Linked DNA regions of Ovis aries. The protein of the gene in region 1 interacts with the protein of each later gene in a biochemical or structural test. Links are inferred from orthologs where the notes say so. Each region holds a gene or a part of one and is shown in the gene's direction. Other genes may lie near its edges.

Evidence for each region.
Region 2: the proteins of CCKBR (region 1) and CCK form a complex in vitro, tested with the Homo sapiens proteins (3 studies listed by BioGRID). The link is inferred for Ovis aries from reciprocal best matches to the Homo sapiens genes CCKBR and CCK.

Annotation. Positions count from the first base shown.
Region 1 is NC_056068.1:46,501,354-46,517,098, reverse strand, and holds CCKBR (gastrin/cholecystokinin type B receptor), read left to right. Parts: upstream 1-386; 5' UTR 387-479; coding exon 480-630; intron 631-8,922; coding exon 8,923-9,174; intron 9,175-9,327; coding exon 9,328-9,577; intron 9,578-9,859; coding exon 9,860-10,032; intron 10,033-10,140; coding exon 10,141-10,679; 3' UTR 10,680-11,555; downstream 11,556-15,745. UniProt on the Homo sapiens protein: Receptor for gastrin and cholecystokinin. The CCK-B receptors occur throughout the central nervous system where they modulate anxiety, analgesia, arousal, and neuroleptic activity.
Region 2 is NC_056072.1:14,562,327-14,578,744, reverse strand, and holds CCK (cholecystokinin), read left to right. Parts: upstream 1-6,006; 5' UTR 6,007-6,071; intron 6,072-7,124; 5' UTR 7,125-7,126; coding exon 7,127-7,340; intron 7,341-11,525; coding exon 11,526-11,659; 3' UTR 11,660-11,930; downstream 11,931-16,418. UniProt on the Homo sapiens protein: This peptide hormone induces gall bladder contraction and the release of pancreatic enzymes in the gut. Its function in the brain is not clear.

The DNA of each region.
Region 1 (15,745 bases):
CTTACCCAGCCTCCCTCCTCGCAACCTCTCCATCCACTACTAACCTCTCCCCAAACCTCGCCCACACACACAGATACACACGCTCCTGAGAATTCCCTGGAACCGGGACGCTGGTGAAGGGGACTGGGCGGGAAGGAAATCTCTAAGAGAAAAAGGGAGAAATCTGAGGGGTGGGGTGCGGACAGGCCCCCTGGGCGGGAGGCAGGACAGCCCCCGGGCGAGGGGCGGAGGGGCGCGGGTAAGTCAGGAGCAGGAGAGCGGGACGGAGAGTCACCTGGCTGGACAGAGGCGGTCCCGAGCTTGGGAGGGAGGCGAGCAGAGGCGGGGCGCGCAGAGGAGGAGCGGAGGGACAGGGGCCAAGGTTGGGGGCGGGAACCAGGCGGGGCGCGAGCCTCAGCCGGAATCGCGGCGGGAGCAGGTGGAGCCGCAGCGGGAGCTCGCCCGGGCGAGCGCTGGGAGGCGGCGGCTGAGCCGTGGCCATGGAGCTGCTGAAGCCAAACCGGAGCGTGCTGGGATCCGGACCCGGGCCGGGAGCTTCCCTGTGCCGCCCGGGGGGCCCCCTCCTCAACGGCAGCGGCACCGGCAACCTCAGCTGTGAGCCCCCACGCATCCGCGGAGCCGGGACACGAGGTGGGTGCCTCCCTAAGCCCCCTCCGCGAGCTCCTTCTCACTGCACCCCACAACACTCACGGAGGCCCCCATAGCCTCCTCAAACGCCCACACCATCCCTTCATAGTACTCCCTCCGTCCCCAGACAGCTCCCCTGACACATCTGTCCTCCACAGCTCATAGAACTCCATCACAGCTTCACACTACCTGGTCACAGTCCCCTCACACCCTGGTCCCCTCGCCACCCCCAGAGCTCTTGGTCACCCCCAAAACGCATCACCTTCACCAACACACAGCCCACTGCTAGACAGAGACAGTGGAAAGGCAAGGACCTCCTCTGGCCAATCCCTTCCAAGTCTCCTTTCCTCTTGCAGTCAGTTCAGGCAGCCTCAATGGGAAAGGAAAGGAAGGAAGAAAGGCAAGACTGGGGGGATGAAGGGGGCTGGCTGCTGGCAGAGGCGGTCTGGAAGACCTGAATGGGAAGTTACAGTCAGTTACAAACAATTACAGTCTCCTGTGTTGCCCGCCCCAACTCCTTGCCTTCCCCAAGAGATCCCCTAACCTGAATTAGGCTGGATGTTGGGTTGGGGGCTGATCTCCTTTGCCCTCTTCCTCAAATCTCCTTGCCTCCCAAGCTGGAGTTCTCAAGGCTCTATACCCTCTCTCTTTTGGTGTCTCCAAGTAATGTCTCTAGGTCCCTTCCAAGCCCCCTCTCCAACCTGCCTTTCCTTAGGTTTCACCCTTCTAGAGCCTGGCTGCCCCATTCATCATCCCGCCCCTTGGGCCACCTTTCCCTCCCACCCGCAGGCTGCTGTCACTCACCCAGTCCCTGAAATGACTTTCACTCCTCCCTTCACTCCACATCTACATTTTCTTGATGACCCAGCTCCAGTCATATTTCCCCTTCCCATACCTTTTCTTTCCTTAAGTGGTTACTAGACAGCTGCTACTATAGTCCCTAGGCTAGGTGCCAGACACACAGGACTAAACTAGAGCCAGTCTGGACTCTCATCTTCAATGCAGGAAAGAGACAAAAACCAATGGGAGAAACCACAGTCAGCATTTAGAATTCCCATAAGAGGGACCAAATTGTGGGCACCCAAAGGAGATGAGATCTGAAAACTTCACAGAGGGAACCTTGAAGCTGGAGTTCAGGAGGCAGAAAAGTAATAAGTGGGATTCCAGGAGAGGGAACAGCATTAAGCAGAAGGAAATTATTCCAAGCTCTAGAAGGGAAAGTGGGAATAAATTGTAATTGAAGGATTTATTTACCTCCATAAAATATCAAAGGCTTTCTCAGCTCACTGTTATACACTCTCTCATTCTTACACTTGGATACTTTCACTCAACAAATATTTATTGAATCAGAGATTGTGCTAGACACTAGGGACAGGAGTAAAACAAAACTGACACGGTTCTTATTTCAAGGAGCTCACAGTTCAGTCGGAGAGACAGACAAGTAAGCAGGGATTTGCCAGACAACGAGGGACGTGCCTTGAGAGGGATGTGGGAACATAGATGAGGAGCACCTCTAGCCTAGCTTAGCCTTGGGAATCAAATTTGACCTTCTGAGGAGGTAAAGGGTAAATTGAAAAAGAAATTAAAATGCTGAGGGAAGTACTCTGTGACAACCTAGAGGAGTGGGAGGGGTGGGAGATGGGAGGGAAGTTCAAGAAGGAGGGGCATATTGTATACATGTGGCTGATTCATATTGATTCATGGCAGAAAACAGCACAATACTGTGAAACAATTATCCTCCAATGAAAAATTTAAGAAGAAAAAACCTGAGGGAAAGTCAGCCAGATGAAGGGGCACAAAAGGCAAAAATCATCTCAAGCAGAGGAACAGTATGTATAAACACCCAGAGTTTAAATCCATGGCACTTTCGTCCAGTGTATCAGTTTCTGAGTGCCTGGAACATGTACCATAAGAGAGGAATGGTGACCACTCAGGATGAAGGCCAGCCTAGAGAGACTCCAGAAAAATGTGTGGAACTGTCTAAGGAGTATGGATTTTATCCCAAGGTCAATGGGAACTGCTGGAAGGTGAAGTCGTGCTGCCAGGATTAGTTCTGTAGTAAAGAGGGCGGATTGGAGGACAAGAGATGGGCAGAGGGGCATCCCTTTGAAGGCTACTGTGTTACGCTGGCCCTGGTGAAACAGGATACTGGCTTAGGCTGAGCTACTGGCAGTGGAGATGGAGAGAACTGGATGGATTGGGGAGATACTTCAGGAAGTGAAACCCACCGAACTTAATGATTTATTAGAAACGGAGAGGGAAGAAGAGGTCAAGGGGCGACATCTAGGTTTCTGGCTTAGACAACTGGGTAGTTGTGCTGTATATTGAGGATAATAAGGAAGCAGAAACATTTGAAAGAGGAGATTATCCATTCAATTTGGAACCCACTGAGTTTAAATGCCAGTGAAATATCCAGGTGGAGTTGCCCAGTAAGCTGTTGAATCCAAGGATCTGGGCGGTACAAGCTGGAAAGGAAGACTTGAAAGGTTTTTGTTTGTCTAGAGGAGGTAATGAAAGCCATGAAACTAGATTAAATCATACAAAGATTGTGTCAGATTTAAAAAAAAAAAAAAAAAAAGAGGTCCTGGGATAGGACCTTGAGGAAGACCAAGTTTTAAAAGCCAAGCAGAAGAAGAGGAGTCCATGAAGGAGATCTAGACGAAACCATTAGAGAGACAAGAAGGCAAGGAAGAAAAAAAAAAAAAAGGAAAATTTCAAACAGAATATCACATGCTGCCAATATAAGTCAGATAAGGTCAGAATAACATCCTTCGGATTCAATGGAAAAGACACCTTAGGAGGAGCTGTGGGGTTAGGGTTACGGTGTTATTACTGACTACGGTCAGTTGAAGTTTGGGCCATGGAGAAGGGGTTATGAGAAGTGAACCAAGGCATGCAGATAAAAACTTCCATATGTTTTGAAGAGAGAGAGGGAGACAAAGAAAAAACAGGATAGTTCTAGAAATAACATGAGGTTGAGGAAGTGTGTGTGTGTGTGTGTGTGTGTACATGCACGTGCACACATAGCTTGTCTTTTGAGTGTGTACGTGTTGCAGAGAAAAAACCAGTTTTTAAATGTTGGTGGGGGATGGGCCTAGAGAGAGGGAGGCTGAGTGCAGAAGACAGAGGGGCTAGTTGATAGAGGAAGGGACCTTGAGCAAGCAGAATGTGCAGTGATTCAGAGCCCAAGCCATCTAGATGCTGCTGCCCACACACACCTGCATGTGATACCCACAGTCAGAGACTGTCAGCCACACTCACTCAGCTATTACCCCTACAGACACATCTCACCCAGGCTCACCCAGTGTTATGAGGAGAAACGTGGCTGTTACGCACATTATTCTGATATAATCCACATACACTTAAATGTTTCCAGTGTTCACTCAGAAACTGCACACAGGATGGACTTGTGGACACAGAGGGGAAGGAGAGGGTGGGACAAATTGCGAGAATAGCATTGAGATATATGCATTACCATTTGCAAAACAGATAGCTAGTGGGAGGCTACGGTATAGCCCAGGGAGCTCAGCTCAGTGCTCTGTGATGACCTAGACAGGCGGAAGGAGGAGGGGTGGGAAGGAGGCTCCAGGGGGAGAGGACATGCTTATACACACAGCTAATTCATGTTGTTGTACAGCAGAAACCAACAAAGCCTTGTAAAGCAATTACACTGCAATTTACAAAATAAATAGAATGGGAAAAAAAGAAGGTACCCACAGAAAAACAGACGCCACCCACACTTACTTTAATATTGCCCATTGTCATTTCGATGTTACTCATCCATCAAATATACATGCTTTCATTTTTTTTATTATCCACATATAATCAAATACTATTCATGCTTACTTAAGGAACCCATCTCCAGGTATCACCTATAAAGTCTACCTATATATAGATATATTACCTATATATCTGTTACCTGGATACAACTGTTACATATTCAGATAATACCTGCAAAGACTCAAATACTACCTGTGGTCATTCAGATGCTGTTATTTTACTCAATCAGGTTAACATCCTAATCTGTTAGCATTTCATATGTACACTCACTTAAATATTGCCCACATACACTTTCATATTACTTCTGCTCAGTCGTCTAGGACCACCATCAGCTGGATATTTCCCTCATTCACACACAGACCTCTGAATGTAACCCATGCTTCCTGTAGACGTTACCTACAAACAAGGTGTTATCTGTAGACCCTCGCTTATTCAAATGTTACAACACTTCCTCAGATATTACCTAAACTTAAAAGTAACCCACACTCAATCAGATATTACTTATAGACACATAGCTGTTACCCTTCTCCAGATATTGCACACAGAAATATGTGTTAATCTCACCCATCCAGATATCATCTCTAATACTCAAGTATTCCCAAGGCTTACTCCACTCCCATTCACAATCAGCTGGATGATATCCATGCTCACCACAGAAGCACGGGTACTACTTTGATGTCCGTGTGATGGGTAACCAAACCCAACACACCAGTGAACGGCAGGATCTGAGGCATCAGCAGCTTCACTGTTCTGTGGAATTATTTCTTAGAAAAGCCTGTTCTTGTCTTATGTGAAATCATCTGGATTTTTGTACCCACACTTCTCTGTCCTCATGTGGACGGAACAAATGCAGATGCTCTAGACACCAGAAGCAGAACTGGACTGTTCCAGTCTTCCGAGTCCCCTGGTCTGACTTCTGATCTGCTCGCGTGGCACAGTGGTAAACAAGCCACCTGCCAATGTAGAAGACGTAAGAGACTCGGGTTCAATCCCTGGGTCAGGAAGATCCTCTGGGTGAGGGCATGGCAACCCACACCAGTGTTCTTGCCTGGAGAATCCCATGGACAGAGGAGCCTGGTGGCCTACAGTCCATAGAGTCACAAAGAGTCCCACATGACTGACGATTTAGCACACACTCATCCCCAGCAGAATGACACCCACAGGTAGACTGTCAAGGCACTGATGGCTGTACCCCAGATGAACAAATGAGAAGTGTGCTTTTCACAACTTAGAGTGCCATCCAGATTTAGGTGTGATTATTGAATCAAGAACTAGTAGAAAGGGAGCTCCTGGTGGTCCAGCGGTTAGGACTCAGTGCTGGCACTGCTGGGGCTCCACAGTGCAGCCAAAAAAAAGAAAAATCTAGTTGAAGAGAAACATCCAGAGGACAGAGGAGGATGTGAGAGAGATGATAGGACTAGAGAGATAAGGGATGGGAGGAGAGGAGAGGAGAAGGGTGTAGAGGGGCAGTGGACTGAAAGGAGACACAAAAAAATGCAAGGTAGACCACCTGTTCTATATTCTTGGGTCCAAGGACCTCTCTGACAGAGATCCCCCCTCCCAAATGTTATTTCCCCCTATACACACACATATACACACACACCTCAAATTGTCACACATAAGCAAACCTTCCATAAGCCTCCCCTGCAGAGAGGGAGCCCAGCTTCTAAATGAGACATAGACAGTTTGCGTATAATAGTAAAAGTAACACATCCCAAATCACAGCCTGTTATTGACCCCTTCCCCTGTACCACCTAAAAGATTCTCCAACATGGGTCTCCAAAGAAACAGAGGCAGTGAGGCAGCAAGGAGAGTGCATGCTGGAGCTTTAGAAGCACAGAGATGAAGGATGGATGAGGAGAAACAGAGCAGATGCATTTATATGGACAGTGACAGAGATACAGTTAAGATTCATTAGCAAGCAGGTGTTAACACCTCCTGTGCAGGAAGCATTATGCCAAATGCTAGGGACATGCTGAAGAACAAGATGGGCATTGCCCCTGCCCTCAAGAGCTCATAGTCCAGTGGCAGAGGCAGAACATGACCATAATAACAGGGTAAGAAATGCCAGGGTAGAGTATGACAGAGAAGTGAGGGAGCAGCAGGAGACAAAGCCTTTTGGAAATGTAGAGACAAGATTCTGCTCCGATTCGGCTCCTTACTTGCTGTGTGCTCTGAGGAAGTAATGTCTGTCATTCCTGGACTCAGTGAGGGTACTATAAACTGCTTAGTCGCTCAGTCGTGTCTGACTTTTTGCGACCCCATGGACTCTAGCCTGCCAGGTTCCTCTGAGCATGGGATTTTTCAGTCAAGAATACTGGACTGCGTTGCTATTTCCTTCTCCAGGGAATCTTCCCAACCCAGGAATCGAACCCGCATCTCCTGTGTCTCCTGCATTGCAGACATTTCAGTTAGGAGGTTTCTTGTAAATAGCACTTCCTTGAAGTCTGCAACAACTTCTGGATAAGTACATAACTACTGATATGGGGAAAAAAACAGTTTAATTTGGGAATTAAGGCGAAAGTCAGCCAATGTACAGGGCTATGGAGAGTGATGCAGCTCTGGGCCCTTCCCTCCCCCAACCTGGTAGGCTCTGTCCCTGCCCTCTTTCCTTCCAACCTCCAGTCTCCCTCACACTGAGGCCATGGGCACAGGTGACTGGGTCCAGTTTAATTCAATTCAGTTTTGTCTTGGTTGTGATATGGCAGCTCAGTGATGAACCGTTCCCCCCAACAGGCAATGACACAAGTGAACGGGGTCAGCCCTTTGTCCTGCCCAGCAGTGCTACGTGTCCTTCCTGTGAGCTCCCAGAGCATTCTGTCATTCTTCAACCTCACTTCTTATCACACTGTGTGACAGATATCTATTTATACGTCTGAGTTTCCCTCTAGACTTCTAGAATGTGAGCTCTCAGATGAGAGCTCTCAGAGCATTTGTCATGTTCATCTCTTTGTCCCCAGTGCCTAGTATAAAGATAATCCTCTGAAATGCTTGTGGAGTGAGAGGGAATGTTTATAGATAATTAAAATACAAGGCAGAAAGTAAAGGCCGTTCTAACAGGTGTGTAGGGAACATGCATGGGTCAGAAGAAGGGGAGATTAGCTCCAAATAAGGTGCCCAGAGAGGCCTTATAGAGGAGGGAGCAGTCAGTCCGAGTCTTGAAAGACAATAGTAAGTAGGAGTTCACTAGATAACAGAAAACAAGTTTATTATTGAGAGTCCTTCCCTGGTGGCTCAGACAGTAAAGCACCTGCCTATAATGCGGGAGACCCGGTTTCAATCCCTGGGTGGGGAAGATCCCCTGGAGAAGGAAATGGCAACCCACTCCAGTATTCTTGCCTGGAAAATCCCATGGACGGAGGAGCCTGGTAGGCTACAGTCCATGGGGTCCCAAAAAGTCAGACACGACTGAGCGACTTCACTTTCACTTTCAGTGGGGGGAGGAGGGTATTAATAGTGGTAGGGGCGCAGTGAAAGAGCAGTTTAGGCTGATAAACCAATGTGAGCAAAGGAGAGTCATGAGTGCACCTGATGCCTCCCAGAAACTGAGTCATCTGGTGGCTTAAATGAGTGCATTGCAGGGATGAGGTGAGAGGAAGAAAAGGCCAGTTCTGGGAGAATCTTGATGACAAGATGAAGACAGTTGAGAGTAGGTAAAGGGTCTTTTTGCTTGTTTATTTAGTGATTATTGTTGCTTTTTAAGACAATAAAGACATGATCAGACCTGTGTCTCAAAAGATAGCAGTCAACAGGGTTGAATGCTACCAGGAGGCCATCAAGTAGAATAGGCTGAGAAAGGACCTTTGGATTTGGTAGTTAAAGCTTAGTAATCATGAAAAGAAGTGTAATGAACACTTATGAACAGTAATGGGGAAGAGGTCACTGAATCGTAATAGATTGAGGAGTGGATGAAAAGATGCAAATAATCTCTACAAAAAGTTTGGCTGCAAAGAGAAGGAAGGATTTGGAGCAAACCTTGAGAACAGACAGGGTTTCTTAAGGAAGGGTAGAGTTAGGCCACTTTAACTAGGCTTCTAGAGGTTAAACGGAGAAGGCAATGGCACCCCACTCCAGTACTCTTGCCTGGAAAATCCCATGAACAGAGGAGCCTGGTAGGCTGCATTCCATGGGGTCTCGAAGAGTCAGACACGACTGAGCGACTTCACTTTCACTTTTCACTTTCATGCATTGGAGAATGAAGTGGCAACCCACTCCAGTATTCTTGCCTGGAGAATCCCAGGGACGGTGGAGCCTGGTGGGCTGCGGTCTATGGGGTCGCACAGAGTCAGACACGACTGAAGCGACTTAGCAGCAGCAGCAGAGGTTAAAAGGGTAACAGATTCAAGTTCACCATTTACTGAGTGGATCCTGGGCCAGTGGGGGAGGGGGAGGATTTGAGAAGCAGGGGATCTGGCTGGGTAGTGGGGCTTGAAGAGTTGGGAATAAGTGAGACTGGATAGCCCAGCTGAGCGGGGGCCAGACCCCCTCCTGCCACCTCACCTCTTTCCTACCCAGAATTGGAGCTGGCCATTAGGGTCACCCTCTACGCTGTGATCTTTCTGATGAGTGTTGGAGGAAATGTGCTCATCATCGTGGTCCTGGGGCTGAGCCGCCGTCTGAGGACCGTCACCAATGCCTTTCTGCTCTCACTGGCAGTCAGCGACCTCCTGCTGGCTGTGGCTTGCATGCCCTTCACCCTCCTGCCCAATCTCATGGGCACATTTATCTTCGGCACAGTCGTCTGCAAGGCGGTTTCCTACTTCATGGGTAGGTAAACAATCGCCCTGCCTCCCTTGGCCCTCTCCTCTTCTAAAGTCCTTGCCGCATGTAGAGGGGTCTGTCTTCACCTGGAGTGTGGAAGTCACACTGGGGAGTGTGTAGCGCAAGTTTCCTAGGTAACCCTTTCCTCTTCCCTCCTAGGGGTGTCTGTGAGCGTGTCCACGCTAAGCCTCGTGGCCATCGCCCTGGAGCGGTACAGCGCCATCTGCCGACCACTGCAGGCGCGCGTGTGGCAGACGCGCTCCCACGCGGCTCGTGTAATCGTAGCCACGTGGATGCTGTCCGGACTGCTCATGGTGCCCTATCCAGTGTACACTGCCGTGCAGCCAGCAGGGCCTCGTGTCTTGCAATGCATGCACCGGTGGCCCAGTGCGCGGGTCCGCCAAACCTGGTGAGGGTGCCTATTACCCATTCCTGAGAATTCCCTTTTCTTATCTCCATCACTCACAAGCATTACCCAGAATCTTGCTCCAACAATTATCACGACCCACCGCCCTGAGATCCCCATTCGGGGCTCCTCCCCAGTTCTCTAGCCCTTCCCAGCTGTACCCCTAATCCTACTTCTACCTCTGGGACGTGGTCACCAGCCCTAGAAACACAGTTCTTCAGTCTTCCTCCATCAGTGATTATAGCTGGACAGGGACCCACTGACTGGTCTGCGCTCTGTCTCCAGGTCGGTACTGCTGCTCCTGCTCTTGTTTTTCGTGCCTGGGGTGGTTATGGCGGTGGCCTACGGGCTTATCTCCCGTGAGCTCTACTTAGGGCTTCGCTTTGACGGTGACAGTGACAGCGAGAGCCAGAGCCGGGTCGGAAGTCAGGGAGGGCTGCCCGGTGGCACCGGACAAGGTGTGTGAAATCCAGGAGGGGGCGGGACTTTGGGAAGGGGCGGGACATAAAGTGGGTGGGGCGGAAATGTGTGCGATTTGGGGGATTCAGCCCACGGTTTGTGCTCAGGTCCTGCCCAGGCGAACGGACGTTGCCGGTCTGAGACCCGACTGGCGGGTGAGGACGGCGACGGCTGTTATGTGCAGCTTCCGCGCTCCCGGCCTGCACTGGAGATGTCTGCCCTGACCGCGCCCACACCTGGCCCAGGATCCGGCACCCGGCCTGCCCAGGCCAAGCTGCTGGCTAAGAAGCGCGTGGTGCGGATGTTACTGGTGATCGTTGTGCTTTTTTTCCTGTGTTGGTTGCCGGTGTACAGCGCCAACACGTGGCGCGCCTTCGATGGCCCCGGCGCACATCGTGCACTCTCGGGTGCGCCCATCTCCTTCATCCACTTGCTAAGCTACGCCTCTGCCTGTGTCAACCCCCTGGTCTACTGCTTCATGCACCGTCGCTTTCGCCAGGCCTGCCTTGACACCTGCACCCGCTGCTGTCCTCGGCCTCCGCGGGCTCGCCCCAGACCTCTGCCGGACGAGGACCCTCCCACCCCGTCCATCGCCTCACTGTCCAGGCTGAGCTATACCACCATCAGCACGCTGGGGCCTGGCTGAGGGGTGGAGCGGGAGCGGGGCTGAGGCAGGACAGACGGATTCCTACCAGCTCAGCCCCGTCCAAACACACAAGAGACGCAGCTGACACGAGAGACTGACTAACCCCAATGGCCAGGAGAGGGTGGCTTACCTGACACTAAGAAAACAAACCAGACCCTCACACAGAAAAGGAGGCACTCAGTGAGGGACTGAGCCTGGCACACAGAGCCAGGGCACTGACCTTGGACAGACCCAGCGTCCCTAGCCATGGACTGTCTCCACACTGTGGAAACCGACAGGGGCTGACCTGCCTCTCACACGTACAGCAGGGGCATTGAATCTTTCAGGGCTCTGGAGCCTGGCACAGAAATGACTCCTGAGATGCTCCACTGTGCCCATAGTTTGACCTCACAGTGCCCTTCCCCAATCAGTGCTGCAAACACCAACCTGCCTAATCTCACACTCCCCGGACCAACGAGCTGTTTTGCACTAAGAAGTCCCTTCATTCCTTTCCAGTTAAATAATCCCTCACCCGACTTTTTCAAGAAATAATAAATGACTTGGTTTCCCCCTCAATTTCCTTTTTGGACTTTTCTGGGGCACGTGAGGGGGCATGGGATTTGGGAGACTTCTCTGTCAGGTCCCTCCCCCTGCTGCTCACTCCTGTGCATGACCCCCTGCCAAAAAGCCCATGGCCTAAGTCTAGATGAGGCTGTGTGAATTCCCTCTAAGTGGTCAACCTGGACCCACCTCACACCACAGTCATGAAGCTGGGAATGAGGATGGGGTGGGATATGCATGACGCACCATCATTCCTAAGCACATTGTTCTAAAGTGGTCCCCTTGTTAGGGTACTGTATTAATAGATGCTTATTAAAATTTTAATGAAAAAAGGAAGCACCATATGTTAAGGGTCAGTTTATTCACTGTGTATTTGTAATAATATGGGGTCAGAACATAATAGATATACAGAATTAAAGAGTTGGGCCTTTTAATGCACTGTTACCTGTGGAAGCACCTTTTACTGGCCAGCAACAAGGAGAAGTGCGGTGGGAAAGGAGGTAGGGGGCTGAACCTGAATGAAAGTCCCGGAAATCAGTCTCCCTGTTGACTCTAAGACTGATTCAGCCCGAGAGAGAGGCAGAGACAGCAAATCACCCCTCCACACATACAGTGACAAACCAGGAAGAACAGATGATCTCACCGAGGGAACACAGAAATAGACAGGTGTGGTATGCTAGGAGAGGGCTCCTTGACACTTCATCTTGTAACAGGTAGAGAAACTGCGACCCAGCACAAGAAAGAAAGCGGCTCAAGATCATACAAGAAATTAAAGCAAGACAGAAATAATCTTATTGAAGTAGACACTGAGCTGGAGGTGGAAGAGAAGCCAGACCCTCTGGTGTCGATCCAAACTTTGTGAGCCTGGAGCTTATAAAATTGGGTGTCCCTTTTTTAAGGAAAAAAAAAAAATACAAAATTACAGCTACAAAATTGCTAGGACACTGACCAGGGCCTTGGAAGAGATCGCTGCAAGAGAGGATTCCTGAGATGTAAGCTCCATTAGCTTCACAGCCAATAATACCTCTAAAATCCACCCACTAACGACATTGAGCAAACACTGGATGAAGTGAAGGGCAGTGAGAAAGGAGAGTGGTCTGTTTACCAGTTCTGAGCTGCTCCTATCCATCCTCTCTGCAGGGCTCTCGGCTGCAAGAGGCAGGAGGAAGGAAGAAAAGGAGGGAGAAGGCGTTCCAAGCTGTCAACTAAGACAGTACTGGTTAAAAATAGAATCCCAGCTGGTCGGAGTTGTGGAAAGCAAGATATTGGGCCTTGCTCACTCATGCCAGCTTTTCCAGGGGGTGGGAGTAGGTTTGCCCACAGCCTTCACGGCACTCCCTGATCCTCATTCCCACCATCCTTTCTGAAGGAGATACAGCCTTGAAGAAGGTCCCCCACTGTCAGTCCCTCCAGCTTGGGCCCAGGTTCCTAATGTCCATCAGATGGTGATGGGGAGCTCAGTAAGGGAGGGCTGATACTCATAGCTCATGAGCTCATGGAGAGCTCATACTCCAAGCCTTTAAGCCTGGAATATGAGCTCAAGTATGGTGGTCCAGGGCTACCCTAGAACCTAGCACATAGGCACAGCCTGAATAATGCCATTTCCCACACTATGCAGTCTTCTACAGAATACTTACACATCCGTCACCCTGTGCCCTATCTAGTTACCCGATGTGGAATTTGGGGTCCTTCCATCTATTTCCCATCTCTGGAAATCTGACAAAACATTTCAGGTACAAATTTTAATATCACTGTCTCCATGAAATCCTGCTTGGTCATCCTCACAAAGCTTGTCTGCTCCTAGAGTACTTACTGCTTTCTCTCTTCTAGCATAGTTATTTATGTTCCAGCCTGATTTCCCATCCTGGGCAGGGAACAGAATGATGTCATGGGAAGATGACTGAGCCTGGGCCTAGAAGGTGGAGTGATGGATGGAGTAGGGGTGAAATCCAATGCTTCTTGATTCTGTGTGACAGGAGTTTATATATACTAATTTATCTCATTCTCAAAACTCTTCTCCAGAACATTTCTCTTCACTTGACAGAAGAGGAAAGTGAAGCTGAGAAAGCTTAAGGGAGTTACATGAGGCCCTGCAGCTAGAAGGGAGACAGGAACTGAGCTCAGGTTGCCTCTAAAGCTTTGTTTCCTTCCATTATGCTGTTTTGCCTTCCTTCAAACCTTGAAGATCTGGGTACCAGTGGTCCTGCCTTTTAAAAGTTGTGTGATTTTGTGCAACTTATCTCAATGAATCTCAGTCTCACCTGTAAAATGCAAAGAATTACATTATCTTCTGCAATATTATGATTTATAAGAAATATATATTAATGTATATATCTAGCCAATCTTTGTCCTATTCCTGGCACAGAGCTCCTTGGAATTTCCTAAGTGTTGAGAGCCCATGATGCTGGGAGGGATTGGGGGCAGGAGGAGAAGGGGACGACAGAGGATGAGATGGCTGGATGGCATCACTGACTCAATGGACTTGAGTCTGAGTGAACTCCGGGAGTTGGTGATGGACAGGGAGGTCTGACCTGCTGCAATTCATGGGGTCGCAAAGAGTCGGACACAACTGAGCGACTGAAATGAACTGAACTGAACTGAACTGAGAGCCCATAAGGTGTCTTTTATTATGTTAATGTAGTCACTTTTGGAAAATCCCTAGATCACCTAAGGATGGAAGCTGGTTTGTCAGAGAAACTAACAGAAATCAACAAAGTAATCAGAGTCTGAGTCAATATAAGAGATGAAGGTTTGATCCCTGGGTTGAGAAGATCCCCTGGAGGAGGAAATGGCAACCCACTCCAGTATTCTTGTCTGGGAAATCCCATGGACAGAGGAACCTGGCAGGCTATAGTCCATGGTGTCACAAAGAGTTGAACACGACTTAGTTACTGTGCATGCACTCGCAAAATTCAGACCCACTCCCTGACCCCCGAGGAAGGAAAAGCGTCTAGAGATTGAGATCAGTCACTAAAAGCCAACGATTTAATCAACTGTGCCGATGTAAGAAGCTTCCATAAAATCTCAAAAGGACAGCGACTGACAGGTTGGGGAACACAGGGAGATTTGGGGAGAGTGTCTCATTGGCAGAGGAGCTCTGTGCCCCTTCTCATGTATCTTGCCCTATGCATCTCATCCATTGGCTGTTCCTGAGTCATATCCCTTTATAATAAACCAATATCTAGTAAGTAAAATGTTTCTCTGAGTTCTAGGAACTGCTCTAGCAAAGTAATGGAACCCAAGTCAAGGGTGGGGATATCTCCAATCTATAACTAGCTGGCCAGAAGCACAAGTGATAAACTGGATCTGGACAGGGGTGGGGCTTGAGGGGGTAGTCTTGTAGGACTGAGCTCTTAATCTGTGGGATCTGACACTATCTCCAGGTAGATAATATCTGAATTGGGTTGATTAAAGGACACCCGGTCGGTATGAGGGCATTGCTTGGTGGTGCGGTAAAAAAATGCACATTATAGTTCATTTGCATCAGAATCATAATCCACTTTGGTATTTTGAGAATTAAGAAAAGAATGCTCAAAAGTGCTTATGGGGGAATTCCCTGGTGGTCCAGTGGTTAGGACTCAGTGCTTTCACTGGTTTCACTGTCTGAGTTCAATCCTTGGTGGAGGAACAAAGATCCCAGTCAGTGCTTGTAATTGTAGAGATACATAGCATAAGGAAGATTGCATTGAGATAGTTTCCAGACCAGGGTGAAGGATTTGTACCTGGAAACACAGCCCTCTGCAGATAGAAAACCATCCCTAAATGAGGGGGACAGAACCCAGAATCCAAGAGGAGGATCAGAGTCTGCTAAGAGATGTTGTTAGGAAGTGGTGGAGTTAGAATCTGAACCCAGGTCTTCTTGACTCCAAAATCCATACTCTTTCACTATACATCCTGACTCTAACCTCCCAGAGGGGACATTCAGCCTGGGGAGATGGGAGAAATTGGAACCACTCAGGTCTCTTCTCAGGACTCCAAATAGAAAAACAGGTAAGTCTATAGCTCTACAGACTTGGATCCTTCAGTTCAGTTCAGTTCAGTTCAGTTCAGTCGCTCAGTCATGTCTGACTCTTTGCAACCCCATGAATCGCAGCATGCCAGGCCTCCCTGTCCATCACCAACTCCTGGAGTTCACTCAAACTCATGTGCATCGAGTCAGTGATGCCATCCAGCCATCTCATCCTCGGTCATCCCCTTCTCCTCCTGCCCCCAGTCCGTCCCAACATCAGGGTCTTTCGAATGAGTCAACTCTTCGAGTGAGGTGGCCAAAGTTTTGGAGTTTCAGCCTCAGCATCAGTCCTTCCAAAGAACTCCCAGGACTGATCTCCTTTAGGATGGACTGGTTGGATCTCCTTGCAGCCCAAGGGACTCTCAAAAGTCTTCTCCAACACCATAGTTCAAAAGCATCAATTCTTCAGTGCTCAGCTTTCTTTATAGTTCAACTCTCACATCTATACATGACCACTGGAAAAACCATAGCCTTGAATAGATGGACCTTTGTTGGCAAAGTAATATCTCTGCTTTGG
Region 2 (16,418 bases), on another chromosome or scaffold:
CCACTAAGCCACCTGGGAATTCCATAATACACTTCTACACACAATATTTTTAAATCAATATAATGTTCTGTATATAAGATAATATAAAGTATATTTTCTAATATAAAAAGAAAGCCATTTAGAATACAATGATATGTATCTCAATATGTAAACAGTTAGGCACAGCTAACTAGAAGACAGTTGTCAGATGTTTATGCTTACTTAGAATGAATAAGTGCGGATTTAAAATAAGCAACCCAGGATGCAACTGAATTTTACATTTTCCCTTTACATTTGATAACTTGAAATAAAATTTAAATAATATAAACATAGGATTTTGTGGGCCAATAGAGGTGTGAACTCAAACATCACAAGCAACACTGGGGCTGGCAACATGAGTTTTCAGAATGGTGGCCATTTACTCTTAAAATCACATCAAAACAAAGTATGATCCTTAGTGGATTTAACATTCTTGGAAAGTTAAGTTATGTTAAAACTGTCCCAAAATGCTCCCTACTTAAGTTACATGAAATTAGCTTCTAGTCTTGAATAACTAGAGACGATCTTTTCACACATGTGAATACCCAGGGGGTCATCCAACATTATGTACTTATCCGTCTAGCAGGTGGCCAGACACTCTGCCTTCTGGCACCCTCCCACCAAATGCCAGCAGGCATCACTTGTTATTTTGCTCACCCCCAAATTCTTCATAAATGTCCAAAATGTCACCTAGAGAGCAGTGTCAGTCACACTGAGAAGGATCTCCCACCCTTTGCCCTCTACACACACAGGCCACAGATTTAATCTTTGGTGACCCAAAGATTAAACTCAGTGGTTTAGTAGGGTCAGCTCTCTACCACCTGAGAACTAATGTTCTCTGGTAGTGAGCTTAGCTGGGGAGCTGGCCAAGCATCTAGAGTCAAAGCATTAATAAACAAGAAAAGATATATACGCTGTCTTTGACAGCTTGGAACAATTGCCTGAAGGGTAACTTGGCAATATTTACCAAAATTTTAAGTGTACATACTCTTTCAGCAACTCCACTTCTAGGAACCTGTGCATGAGCAGTATGATATATATTCAAGGAGCCTCAGTTATAATTAGAACATATTGGAAACTATTTAACTTTTTATCAGTAGGGCACTGGCTAGATGAATTAAGGCACATCCATCCATTGGAGTGTTCTATAGACACTGAGGTAGAATTATGCCAATAGTACAAAGTGACCTCTAATACAAATCTTAAATGAAAAAAGCAAAGCAGAGAACATTGTATATTATGTGCTTCCAAGTGGAAATGATTTGTGTGTGTGTGTGACACATTTGATTTGCTTGTATGTTCATGGATTCTCTATGGAAGAATTCGCTAGAAACTAGAAGCACTCCTTGCCTCTGGGGAAGAACAGGGGTGAACAGGAGACTTCATTTTAACGACATACCCTTTTCTATCTTTAAATTAATAAAATTTTGAATTATGTGTACTTAGGCCTATTATTGAATTTAATAACCACTTGAGTTGGCAAAACTAAGAACCTTTCCTGATGAGGCTGACCAGCGACAGCCGTGTCCTCTGGCATTAATTTAGAGGAGGGGAAGTGCAGCAACCATGGTGGTAGGCAGGACATGTCTCCGCTGGAGGCTGGGATGTTGCAGGGACGTGTGCTTGTCCCTTGCTGTGAGAGGCCCCTCTTCAGAGGGAATCTGTATCAGCAGGACCACAAAAACTTCAGACTTCCCCTGAAAGAATTTAAGTCTCCCTGTTTGTTAACTTTTCCCGGTTATAGACAATAGAGGCTGCTCTTACTACTCCTACAAAGGAACATGACACTAAAGACAAACCTGAAGACACTGGTGGATGGTCTCCCTGACAACTGCCATTCCTGCTGGCTTTTCAGGATTGGTTTGAAAAGCACAGGCTCATTCTGCCTGTGAGGATCAGTGGGCTGGCCGCGGACCTCTCCTCTTTCCCACCACTTATTCAGGAGATGACCTTTCATTTCTGGTGGCTCTTACTGCTGCTGCTGCTAAGTCACTTCAGTCATGTCTGACTCTGTGCTACCCCATAGACGGCAGCCCACCAGGCTCCCCCGTCCCTGGGATTCTCCAGGCAAGAACACTGGAGTGGGTTGCCATTTCTTTCTCCAATGTATGAAAGTGAAAACTGAAAGTGAAGTCACTGAGCCGTGTCCAACTCTCAGCGACCCCATGGACTGCAGCCCACCAGGCTCCTCTGTCCATGGGATTTTCCAGGCAAGAGTACCAGAGTGGGGTGGTGGCTTTTACATCCCTGGCTAAAAGAGATTGTGTTAAAAACAATTCCTGTGGTTATTTGGGAGCCCAAAACCCAGGCAGAGGCCAACAAATGGGTTTTTCACTTACTACTATACACCTAGTCAATCCAGTCAACTGAACTAAAAGTTGTTTCCTTGGTGGACATGTATTGATCACTTAGCATGTGTCCAGGATAATCCTTGTATTGGATGAGTAAATCATGGTTCCTATCCTCTGGCATGTTAGCAGATAAGATGTTCAGAGAGATAAAAAGTTCAGTCAACAAATATTTATTCAAGAGCTGTTGTCCTTCTAGGTTTGGGGGTGCTGGTTATGAGATGTGTCCCTTGGGTTATCTCAGAGAGACCTCAGTGGGATTGAGTCCACAACAGTATCCCCCTCGTTAACATGCACTTGATTTCCTTCTCTCTCTTCCCTGCTCCCTTACTCCTACTTCCTTGAGATCACTCCCAAGTAATCTCCCTGCACCCAGGTTGTCTCAGCCTTGCTTTTGTGAGCACCTCATCTTAAGAGATTCTGAGGGAACTCATCATTAGTAAGAGGAAATAGTTCACCACCGCAGCTCCTTCTTTCTTTTCTGCTAAATTGCTCCATATAATGGCAGATGACATTGGCTATGTGGGCCTCTGGAAAATTACAAGACAAATAATGGCATTTCCAATACAAGTTCAAGAGAAAAAAAAAAAAATTCAAGATCCCAAACATAAGACTTCAAGCACATTTCTAATCACAGTAAACAATCTCCTAACGAAGATCATGGCATCCGGTCCTATCACTTCATGGGAAATAGATGGGGAAACAGTGGAAACAGTGTCAGACTTTATTTTTGGGGGGCTCCAAAATCACTGCAGATGGGGAAAGCAGCCATGATATTAAAAGACGCTTACTCCTTGGAAGAAAAGTTATGACCAACCTAGGTAGCATATTCAAAAGCAGAGACATCACTTTGCTGACTAAGGTCTATCTAGTCAAGGCTATGGTTTCTCCAGTGGTCATGTATGGATGTGAGAGTTGGACTGTGAAGAAGGCTGAGCGACAAAGGATTGATGCTTTTGAACTGCGGTGTTGGAGAAGACTCTTTGAGAGTCCCATGGACTGCAAGGAGATCCAACCAGTCCATTCTGAAGGAGATCAACCCTGGGATTTCTTTGGAAGGAATGATGCTAAAGCTGAAACTCCAGTACTTTGGCCACCTCATGCGAAGTGTTGACTCCTTGGAAAAGACTCTGATGCTGGGAGGGATTGGGGGCAGGAGGAGAAGGGGACGACAGAGGATGAGATGGCTGGATGGCATCACTGACTCAATGGGCGTGAGTCTGAGTGAACTCCGGGAGTTGGTGATGGACAGGGAGGCCTGGTGTTCTGCAATTCATGGGGTCGCAAAGAGTCGGACACGACTAAGCGACTGAACTGAACTGAACTGAACCTCCTTTAAACGGAGATCACTGTAACAAGTTTAAATTCCGTGAAAAATAAAGTAGGAGGCTCTAGTGTGTCCCTGGAAATTCCACTCAGTTTTCTACAAAAGAGAAATGGACATATGTCTTTGAGATACTTCCCATGGCTTAAAAAAAATCCTGCATGGAAACTATCACATCCCTGATTTCAAGGGCTGAGTTGGGGATGCCTCTCCAACTCTGAATGGGATCTCAGCTAAATTATTTTCAGCACAGTTAGATGGAAATTTCTAGATTCCAAATCAGAAAACAGTTACAAGTTTTCACTCACCTCTGCTGTCCACAGTGACACATCTGAATGTGGTTCCCACCCTTTCCATTTCTTGGATGAAAGCAGAGACCTTTCACATCACGTGGCATTTATTTTCTGTCTCCCTGGCTAGAATGGAAGCACCACGAACACAGGCATTTTGCCTGTTTTGCTCCCTATTGTGTCCCAACAGTGTCTGATAGACAGTTGATGTCCTCAGGAGGATTATGCTGAAATTAGACAAAACCTTGGGGGCACATGATTTATTAGGGAGATGATCCTAGATACCAGGCATGAGAAAATGAGAATACAGGAGGAAACATGTTCAATAAATATTAACTAAATGGATGGAGGGGAGGGAGTTCAGTAACTGGCTTACCCTAAGGAAATTCTGTAGCTGTGGTTCTCAAAGTGTGGTCAGGGGACCATCACCACCAGCAGTAGCCTTAGGGAAATCGTTAGAAAGGCAAGTTTCTGGGCCCCACCTCAGACCTACTGAATCAGAAACTCTGGGAGGTGTTTGAGCAAGCCCCTTAGGTGATTATGCTCCATAACAACTTCATGTTCTCAGACATGCCTTGACCACAGTCACAAATAAAACTAGTTTCACCAAGTGAACTTACACAGTAGCCTCCTTGGGAAAACCACTGGGAAGCATCTAATCTGCAACTCTGTTTCAAAAATGTTGCCTTTAGATTGCAGAAATGCAGCAGCCTCTAGAGTTTAAAAAGGGGGACAGCAACCACAGGCATCTCCCCACCAAGTGTCAGGCTCCCCACCCACTTCAACACCACAGTCTCACCATCCCAGGAGCTGAGTACAGATTCTGATTTGAAAGAATCAGGTCCAAATCTTTCTCCAGGAAGGGAAAAGGCGGGAGGGGCGGGTGGCTACCCTCAAGTCTCAGCCTGCTGAGACTCCAGGAAACTGTGGAGAAGCCTTGGCCAGTTGCTGCTTCTGTTGGCTCCCCGGTTGCTGAAATGGGGTTGTCAGTAATTTTGCAGCACCGGGAGAACTGGAGCACTAACTAGATGACTCTAACCCAAAGGGCTTCAGGGCGGAGGTGAGTGTAGACCCCTATGGCGCACTGGCCGGGGGCGCGACCCCGCAGGGAAGGGCGCACAGCTGCCGCGGCGCCTCCCTTGTCCCCACTAGGGGGGTGAGTGACAAGAGCGAGGTCTTTATTTCAAAGACGGCGGGGACCGGCCCAAGTGTAAAAGCTGGGAAAGATGGAACTGGCGGATGCCGATGCCAGAGGGGAACGGCGATTGAGCGGCTTTTGAGGACACTCTCTGGTGCCGCTTGGCGACAGGAGCTGCGGGCGCCGCGGGCAGGAGGTAGCTCCGCTTGGAAGAAAACACAGCCCTTTCCCAAACTCCGGGCAAAGCCCAATAGCCTCATCCTCGTTTCACAGCTACGTAAAGCAGAGTCCGCGACACCCGCAGCCAGCCGTGGAGGAGCCCTTTCGCTGACCCAGGGACCCTTGCCCTCGGGATCCTGGGATCAAGGGGCTGAGAACAAAGTTTAAAAACCAGAGCAGCCTGGGATGCTCCAAGAGGGGCCGACATTTCCACCATCTCAGAATTACACTTTGCTGACACCCAGCGCTGTCTAGTGCCACCCCATCCTATCCCGGGTTTCCTTTCCCGCGCCTCTGGTCCCCAAAGCGAACTGTAGGCGCGCGGCGGCTTCTCCATCCCGCAGGAGAGTCCCATTCCTAGGTCTCCCACCCTGAAGACGGGGAGCTTCGCGCTGGAATGGGCAAGGCAGAGGGGGTGCACGGAGCTGGGGGAGGAAGTCCCCCCGACCGAGACGCGGCTGACGCCACCCACCCCGCCACCCACCCGGCTCCACAGGGCCATTGCCCCCCCCCCCCCCCCCCCCAGGCAGCCACCTCAATCTATTGTCGCCCCGGCGGCCGCCCTCGGAGCACGTGCCGCTACCCTCTGCGTCAGTACTGGGTAAACAGATGACTGGCCAACGACTCAGGCGGGGCTATTTAAGAGGCAGCCTCCTGCCCGCCTACCTTGAACTTGGCTCAGCTCCCCCGCTGCTCTGGCTGGACCGCGAAGCCGGCTGCGTCCTATTCCGAAGGTAGGTTCCCGGCTCTCGGGGATCCAAGTGTCCTCGAAGAATGATTCTTCACTTCTGTTCCCCTTCCATTTCATTTTACTGTTTACGGTGTCTTCTTTCCGACAGCTCGAAAGACATTTCTCCAAGTCACAAAGGACAGTGCGGGCTGGGTGGATAGAGCTGGTTTACAGACTTCTACTCGCTTGATTTGTTCTCCAGCGCAGGCAACGCTGGAGCATCTATTTGCTCGGGTTAGCCGGCAAATTGCGATTCGCTAGGTGTTACACAGCGGTCCAGTGTACTTTGCAATCTTTTCAAATATACTACCGAGAGGTTTTAAATTTAAATTCATTTTCTGAATGCTGCGGGAAAACTCAAGGTTTGAGGGATAGAACTATCCCAGTGTTTCATCTGCGCGGATCTAAAACGCAGCGGTGCTTGGCGGACGCCGGAGGACTGAGCGCAGATTTCTGATTTTTTTAAAAGCCTGCCTGTGTTTCACATAGTTGTTCTTGCCAATTCCCATTTGCACCTTGAGGAAACTTGAAAAATACGGCTTTTATGTATTGGTCTCATATTTCAAGCCGTGCTTCTCAGTGTTTCACCATTTATTTCCCTGGTTGAAGCGTCTTAGCTCTCTGGTAAGGTGCCTCTTTTCTAAAACCAAGGCTCTTATTTTTCCTACAGAGTCGTCCCTTTCGGATAATTTTCACCTGTCTTTAATCTCTTGTTTTTCCAGTTAGGAGAAGAGAGACGACGCTGTAACACTTCCTCAAACTAAAGGAAAACCGAAGACATTCCTTCTGCTAAACAGGGCAGAGGACAGGGTCTCTCTCCGTCCCCCACACCACTCCCGGGCCCCGGATTGCGGTTCACCCCAAAGAGGAACGCGGTGCGCCCGGACGCGCATGCTGGGGTCACCGGCTCCCTAGTGCTGGCACCTGCCTGGCGGATCCGGAGCCCCGCGCCTTTGGGCTGAGCCCCCTTCTCTGTACCTTGGGTGTCCGACCCTCCTCAAGAGCCCGCGGATGCCCCACCTTTTCGTTCACGTCCCCTTCCCTCTGCTCCCCGCAGCCATGAACCGCGGCGCGCGCCTGTGCTTGCTGATGGCGGTCCTGGCGGCGGGCGCCCTGGCGCAGCCGATGCCTCACGCGGACCCCACGGGCCCTCCGGCGCAGCAGGAGGAGGAGGCGCCCCGGAGGCAGCTGAGGGCGGTGCCGAGGGTGGACGACGAGTCCAGAGCACACCTGGGCGCGCTGCTGGCCAGGTACATCCAGCAGGCTCGGAAAGGTACGCAGGCCGCCTCTCTGTCCCTCCCTTCTGCCTCCAGGCCTGACCCTCTTCTCTGCCATCGGGCTGGTGAAGGTGGGTGACTCCTGGGGAGTGAAGGGTTACTTGGGCAACACGATAAGGTGAAAGGTCTTTAACTTTCTTTTCTCTGATTCTGCTTGCCCCAGACAGTGCAGTTTTCTGTACCTCCTTTGTAGCAAGCTGAGAGGGAAGGGGGCAGGACTTAACTTATTAAGAGAAGGCTTTCTTTAAACTTTTTGGCACTGTGTTGCTGTTTAGGTTCAACATATTGTAAAGATATTAAAAGATGATTACTGAGCGAATTACTAACTCAGAAAGAGTTTGCAGATCCAATAAACACCCTCTGCTGTAAATATAAAGGACCCAGGAGCTGCCCAGCTACTGCATTTGGAAACCCTCTAGCAGGCAATGGTCAGTTGCAAGAATACTTGAGAGCTGACAGCAACAGTCCAAGAAGTGACTGTGTGTTAATTTTCATGGAAGTATGTAGCAGGAAGAAAGAATCAGGAGCAGTTTTGAGTCCTCTTTGAGCAGCGGCTTAAGATGATGACCCAGCAAGAGATGTGTTTATTTTTACTTTGCTGTTGGAGACACAGACCCAAATGCGGCAAGAGCTAAACAAGTCACACTTTCCTCAGCATCAAAATCTTTCTCTAGGAATAAAGTAATTCAGCAACTCAGTAGCTGAGTGGCATACAGACAGCCCTGTCCCTGTCCTGGGCCTGACTGTCTCATCTGTAAAGAGGGTATGAGGTGGGGTTCCCCTTGGCTCCTTCTAGCTCTTCATGAGACTCAGGGGGAGGCTCATTCAACTCTGGGGTCCTTAGAAATCATGATTTGAACTGGGACAGATTTTTTTTTTCCTATCAACTTTATCTAAAGTGACACTAATGGTGAAGCTGTGTTTTAAATTGGACCAATATGGCTGGATGATAAACCAGCAAATACTGCTGGGAGAGGTGGGAGGTGGGCTCCTTTCCCACAAGGCTCTCTTAACATTAATTGCTGGGGTTCTGGGGCCTGGATTTGAACTTTAACTTGTGGCTTGATGAAATGGGGAGAAAATAGAGGGTTTGGCTCTCCAGAGTCTCCTACAATTCCATAGGAAAGTGAGAAGGGACATTTTTGACCAGGACAATTCAGAAGGGAAAAAAATAGAAGACGATGCATTACATTTCATCCTCTTATTGGGGGATTGTCCCAACTACCATCTTCTATTTTGCTTTCCTCCTAATTATATTGAAAGATGTGGAAATATTAGACAGACGACAGAGAATGTCTGAAAATTTGGAGGTTCCTGCTGACTGTCTGTGTGAAAGTAGTTTAAAATCTGTCCTTGGATATGGGTTGAATATCCTAGGTTTTTCATTGACCATAATCTGGAAGCCCCTTCCTACCTTCAGGAAAGATCCTCCAGAAACTGTTCTGGGAAAGAAGCCAGTTACCAAATGATTTCCCCAGAACTGACACTTCACAGTGACTTCATACCACAACTCTTAGCTGGAAGGGCCTTCCTGCTGTCTTTTCTCAGCCCTTTGCCTTCAGCCTGCAGTGACAAACAAACCCATATGGGAAGAATCATCACTTGAAACTTTAGCTGCCAACACCAAGGATCAGTGCTAGCTGGAAAAAAAAAATAATTCTCTTCTATTTGACAAATATGAACTAGAAATAAGTATCTCCATCTATACAGTTTCTTTGTTTTATACATTTTGAGATCACAGTGAATATTTAATCAACTGTAGTATATGCCGTGCTTAAAGATTCTAAACAAGATAGTGCACCCTTTGGGGAGAGCTCAAGAGTTTATCATTAAGAACTGTCTATGGAGATGTCAGTGATCTGAAGAGAAGGAATTCTATTAGTGTACACCTGCCCCAAGCCCAGCGCAGTCCGGTGCTCCATCTGTGTTTTCTCTCTTTGTCCTCACACCAACCCTGTGCAGTAGGGTCTATTACCTCATTGTGTCAGTGTGGAAGCTGGGATTCTGGAAGACTGAGTCCCCAGATGGGTAGCACATCTCGGCAGCATAAGGGCTGGGAATTTACTCAAGTCCTGCCCTCCCCAAAGGGTCTGGAAGCCATTCAGCTTCCCAGCTGTACTGCTCATTACAAGTTTTAAAGTTTCAAGGAGCCAGGCCCTTCAGTTGTGTGAGTTGGTTGTAAGTGCCTGCTCTGTGTACGCAGTGGGGAAGTGAGTGAGGACTCTGGTAAATACACAGAACCATGTGTGGAATGGGGAAATTCTGGGTGATACAGGCACAGCTTCCATACTGTACACGATGCCCCCGACCGCAACCACGGAGGCTGCTGCTCACACTGAAGCTGCTATGTTGCTTCCATTAGATGGCATTTCCAGTGGTGCTCATCCCTTGGAGGGGGCATTCAGCAGCAACAAGCAGGAGGATGAGGCATATTTTGGTGTGACTGTGTACAGATAACTGGGTCTGAGAGTTTTGCTGAATGCAGGGACTAATAGTTCATCTGAAATGTGTTGAACAAATAAACAGCAAAGGCTGATTTCCTCTGCATAGACTGGCAACCCCTGCAAAAGAGCTGGAATGTGCTGGGGTGATGCTTAGTCCCAAGGCTGAGAAGTAATGGGGAGGGGAAAGAGAGGGCACAGGAAGAAAGGGTGGGGACATTGCTCCATAGGGTTGTTTCTGATTTTTAATTTAGCTAGCTTTATTTGATTATCAGGATACCTACTTCTGCAGTGTCATCAATAAATAAGCTGTGGTTCAACTTGATGCAGCTTGGGCAGCAGTTGGCAAGGTCAGCCTTGTACAGAAGGGCTCAATGCCAGCATTGTGAGCAGTGGGGACACAGTGGCCCCCAATAAAATAAGAACCATCGAGTGAGCCTCTGCTCTTGAAGCCACTTGGGCTTTGCCCAGTGAGATCCCTGAGGGACTGTTCTTGCCCCTTGGTTTGTACAACAGAAGGTATGATACTGATTTTATCCCCAGGATGCCAGGGCCTATGATCTGTGGGCCAGAACAGTCACATGCCCTCATCATGGCACTGCCCACTCAACATGAATCATACCCGGACTCATCCTGTTCCAAAGGACTCAACTCCTATCCCTGTGGGCCCATTTCAGGTTCAATGATTGCATGTTGGTCAAAATGGCTGAACTAAACTACCTCTGTTCTGCCCACCCTTCTTTGAGTGCTGCTGCTGCTAAGTTGCTTCAGTCCTGCCCGACTCTGTGCAACCCCATAGATGGCAGCCCACTAGGCTCCTCTGTCTCTGGGATTCTCCAGGCAAGAATACTAGGGTGGGTTGCCACTTCCTTCTCCAATGCATGAAAGTGAAGAGCGAAAGTGAAGTTGCTCAGTCGTGCCCAACTCTTAGCGACCCCATGGACTGCAGCCTACCAGGCTCCTCCATCCATGGGATTTTCCAGGCAAGAGTACTGGAGTGGGGTGCCATTGCCTTCTCCTCTTTGAGTGTTACTGAGATGCTAAGATTTTAATCTGCCAGTGTGCCTTTTTCTCAATATCATTTTTCCTTTTTTTTTTTTTTTAGAAAAAGAAGGTAGCTTTCAAATTAATAATTTTAAAACAGCATTTATCTAGCAGTGAGATTGGATTCCATTTTAGAAAAGCCATTCTAACATCAAAATATTGTCATCACATTACCTTGACAAGAGTTAGGTAGGCTCAGGGATATTAAGGGGTAAATTTTATTTTTTTACCATGTAGGATCTTAGTTCCCCAACCAGAGAATGAACCATGCCCCCTACCTTGAGGGCATGGAGCCTGAACCACTTGACCACCAGGAAAGGCTCTTAAGGGGTAAACTTTAGAGATGGGTTCTACTGAGGAAATCCTGCTATATAAGGGAAAACACCCTGAGCAGTAGGAAAACTTAGGCAGGTCTCAGCTATGAAAGGCGAGAATAAATTAATTTACCTAAATTCTTACAGATTGCAAACTACACCCACAGGTAGAAAATACTACCCTCTCTCCATTTACACAGACATGGGTCTTTCTTTTCTCTTAGGTTTTGGCCCAGCAATCTCACTCTTTTGATACCTCTTTTATACCTTTAAGAGGGTGTATGTTACATATTGCCTGGTCTTTTCTATTATTTGCCTTTACAATAGGAACTAGTGATGCTCTTAGATATAATTATCCTGTTTCCTTCCTCTCTGCCCCTAGCTCCTTCTGGCCGAATGTCTGTGATCAAGAACCTGCAGAGCCTGGACCCCAGCCACAGGATAAGTGACCGGGACTACATGGGCTGGATGGATTTTGGCCGGCGCAGCGCTGAGGAGTTTGAATACACCTCCTAGAAGACCTGGCCTTCAGCAGTGTGATAGGAAGCAACCTCCTGACTCAAAGGAGGCAGAATAAGAAAACAATCACACTCATAACTCACCTCTGATGTCTGACATTTAAAGTATCTATTTATTAAGTTTTCAATGTGAAAAATATGTCTGTATCATTGTCCAACACAACCTCACACCTTGGCAGAAATGTACAATAGGACGACAAAATGTTTTCCTTATCTGTGATCCCCAGTCCTAATGTGTTACAATGCTATTAAAGTGATTTTCTTCTGTTCCTCGTTCTCTGTGTCTACAAATGGCAAAAGGTCCTTTAGTCTTCAGAAAGTTCAAGGAGAGATTCCTGATGTATGGGACCGAAGGATGAATCCCTGCAGTCGATGATCAGAGAAAAGGGACCTGGGTGGCCTGATGCAATAGGACATGAAGCCCCAAAGGAGACAGACACTGAAAAGAAAGTGGTTAATTCACTTTACAAGGAGCACTGCATTTTGGTTCCATATCAGTTGGACACTGCCCAGTGACGGTCTGGGGAGTAGATGGTAGTCTACGTGTTACTTTAGTTCTCAGTCTTTGATATGCCAATTAGGACCAGATCCAAGCATGCATGGCTTGGGGTCGAGGCCTGTAGTTCATGAAGGAACAACTATATGGGGTTGCCTTCCTGAGCTATTCTCTCCCTCTCTACAATCTCCCCAGAACTTTCCAGTTTCCTGGGACTCTCCTTTTTGGTCCTCCACCCAAAAACTTGGCTCTGGTTATACTGTTCTGCCACACACTCTCATATTTGGGCCCATGTTCAAGTCTGAGTAACAGAAGAACGGTGAGTGAAAAAAAGCAATAGGGGTTGATGAGACCCTCTTGAGATCATAACTACTCCTATCCAAGAGCCAGTTGCCTCTTCCTCAGTTTTGGCCGTGGCCAGGCTCATGACTGACTGTTACCACTGTGCCTATGTGTTTGCCAGGGGGCTGTGGCATGAAAGAGAAGAAAAGAAGAACAAGAAATATTTATACTCTCTGGCCATTAGGAATTCCCTTTTTTATTCCTTGAGCCAGAACTAAGGGATATCTCCTGGAGATGGGTTTGCTGTGCCCCAGACTGCACTTTTAGTCCTAGGTTATGTTAAGTTCAAGAAAAGTCCCCCACACAGTCTTCCAGGCCTGCTCCTGCATCCTCTTTGACCACCAGGATCTGGTAGTTTCTAATGGAACTCTAGGAGCTTGATGAAATATTGTCTCAAGATGTGATGAAATTGAAAAACCCAGTCACTCATGCCATCAGGGTATTCTCTAAGATTGGGTGGCTTATTTTATTTTATTATCTTAATTCTGAATACTTTACTATAACTCCTAAGAGCCTTCTGGTTTGGAAAAATCTCAAGACAGCACAAGAAGTTTCTGACAAGTGGAATATTATATCTAATCAAGCTCCAAGACTAGCAACTTTTCTACCTTTTCATTCCCATGGCTCACATGCTGATCTGGGCACATAGAAACAGGCAGAATTGGCAAGAGTTCAAGCCTTTCCTGCCCTAACACTTTGGGACTGTAGCCAGAGTGACTCACATTGTTTGATCTTTTTCCAAGTTCCATTCTGAAAAGGATTCAACTGCTCTCTTTATCACCTTGTGTGTACTGTTATAAGCCCTTCGCTGGCCCAACAATATGTATGGAAGCACACTTTTGTGTCAGGCACTATGCTGATGTGGCAGGTACAGCAACCAAGAGCTCCAGTGGGAGATTCACAAAATCACAGTACAGTGCTTCAGGAATTATGGCAGATACTAATAATAATCAAAGGATGGGATAGAACAGAGCAGCAGAGCTGGCTGAATTAAGGCGCAGGACAGCTGGGCAGCTGCCCTTGGAGCCAGTCTCAAAGGGACATCTAATCACCACAGCAGCAAATCAGGTATCAGTGAATTTCTTTATACTTAGTAACTTAGTGAACTGAAGAACTGGGCATCCATTCCTCCCCTACAGAAGATTACAATGCCCTCAAGTGGACAGTTTTTTTTTTAAAAAACCACTCCTGCGGTTGCCAGCTCCTCTCTGTAGAAAGTCACACTGAAATCTGCAGAATTCAGGCCCATTTCTTTGCCAACCTGCTAGTTAACCCTCCCAGTCAGCTGAAGTTTCAAAACTAGATAATTCAGGGCCCCGGACTGTTTATTCTAAGAATGGGTGATTTTTTAAAAATCTTAATATTGGAACTTTTAATATGACTGCCAAAAGGCTCAAGGGTTTGGAAAATCACTCAATGAAACTGAAAAGGGAACAAGAGCCACTGACAAATTATTTTTGTAGAATTAAACTCAAGGAAAAAAAGGAACTCTTAAATGTATTTTGAAGACAAGTTGGTAACCATGGTTACCTCTAATTAGTGAGCAGCTCATGCTTTCCAGATTTGAGTGGAGGAAAACTGAAATGAAAAACAATTCCAAATTAGTAAAAATGCTAAGTTCCATTGAGTGCATGTAATGTACTTTAGAAATGTAATTTAATGTCTGTTGAGTCTAGTAATTAAGAAGTTGGTCTTGCATTTTGGGTTATTTAATTTTATTTTTTTCTGTAACTTATCATTGTTGCACGTTACAAAAATACTGGCCCATGACAGATCAATTTGAAAAATAAAAGCAACCAACTGATCCTTCACCATTAAGTGTTGAGAAGTACCACAATACATGTTCTTAAAGTCCCAGGGATTTGACACCTGGGTAAGCCCCTTGTCTTCACCCCTGTGTAATGTGCTGGTCAGAACTCTGGCCTTGACAGCAGCCTCAGAGGGGGGCCAGAGATTGGGCATCAGCTGATGCAAATGAAAGGATCTTCCAACCCAGTTCCCGAGCCAAACAACCATTTCTGTGGTGGGTCAGCCACTCATACAGCTGAGCACACAAGGCAATAGCTTCTCACAGACTAGGGACCCAAGGGTGATGAACACCACCGGTGGCTGGAAGTTAGGTAACCGGGAGAGTGAGGAGTCACGTGCATGCTGTTGCTGTTATTCTGCTAGTCTACTTGGTGTCACAGGTGACAAACAGAAGTCCCTGGGAAGACCAAGGATTTATGTACTGGGGGGCTTGGGAGAAAATACCTCTCTGGCTTTTCTCTTCTGAATAAGGTCGTTAGACATTGGCCTGCACTTGTGGGTCTCTGCTACCAATGGCCCCCAGTACTGCAGTTGCCTGCCCCTAGAAAACCCTGTTGAATTCTGCCTTGCCCTGTGCCTTCCCTCAGACTGGGGCTCCCTAAGGAGGGCTGTGTCTCCCTTTATTTTCTGGTTTTGTGAAGGAAGGCTGTTATCTCCTGCCTACTGTGGTTCTCAAGGACAGGGTTGTGTTTCTTCAGTGTGAGCTCTCTGAGGCAGGGCTGTATCTTGCCCTCAGACAGTGGCTCTTCAAGAACAGGGCTGGGTTTCTGTTCTCCTCATAGGAAGCACCCTGAAACAAGGCTGTGTCTCTCCTCAGACTGTGCTGGGTTTTTTTCTTCTTTTTTTTTAAAAATAACTAATCTATTTATTATTATTATGTTGGCTGCACTGGGTCTTTGTTGCCGGGGCTTTCTCTAGCTGCAGAGAGCGGGGGTGCTACTCACTGTTGCGGACATGAGGCTTCCCATAGCCGCGCCGTGATTCTGGGGTAGGGAGGGGGCTGATGCTCAGTACTTGTGGCACCTGACAGTGAGATGTTCCTGTGTCTCCTGAATTGGCAGGTGGATTCTTAACCATTGGACCATCAGGAAGTCCAAGAGCTGTGTGACTGAGAGTGGTTTCCAGAGGCAGGGCTGTTTCTGTTATCACACTGGGATCCCAGCAGTCTTGGCGTTTTTTTTTTTTTTTTTTTCTTTTGACCATGCCCCTCGCATCTTGCGGGATCTTAGTTCCAGCACTACCGGTTGAACACCTGTGAGGGCACTGAAAGAGTGAAAGCAGCGAGCGACCCTGAGGGAATGCTGTATCTCCCCCCTTCCTATGTCTCCTCAAGGGCAGAGCTGTGTTTCCTCAGACTGAAGCTTTCTAAGGCAGGGCTGTATCTTCCCTCAGACCGGGGCTTCCTGACAAACAGCTGCTCCCCTCAGACTTGGAGTTTCTGAGGCAGGGCTGTATCTCTTCAGACTGGCTCTTCAAAAGTGGGGCTGTTTTTCCTCATAGTGAGGCACCCTGAAACAGGGTTATGTCTCTCCCTCAGACTGTCCTGTGTTCTTGTCTTAATTAACTAATTTATTTATTATTACTATTTTGGCTGTGTTAGGTCTTCGTTGCTGCGCTCAGGCTTTCTCTAGCTGCAGAGAGCCGACCTGCTACTCTCCCTTGAGGAGCACCTGGCTTCTCATCACCGAGCGGCGGCTCTAGTGGGAGGCACCCTGGCCGGGGCGCTCAGTACCTGTACACTGGCACAGGAGATCTTCCCGTGTCCCATGCACTGGCAGGTGGATTCTTAACCACTGGACCACCAGGGAAGTCCAAGTGCTGTGTGACTGAGAGTGGTTTCCTGAGGCAGGGCTCTTTCTGTGATCACACTGGGCTGGAAGAAGTCTTGGTGGTATTTTCTCTTGGCCAAGTGCCTCGCGACTGGCGTGATGAGTTCCCGTACTGATGGTTGAACCCCTGTGAAGGCAGTGAGAGAATGAAACCAGCAAGTGACCCCTGTGGGGGAACGCTGTATCTCCCCCTCCCTGTGTCTCCTCAAGGGCAGAGCTGTGTTTCCTCAGACTGAAGCTCCCCGAGGCACTATTGCATCTTCCCTCAGACTGGGGCTTCC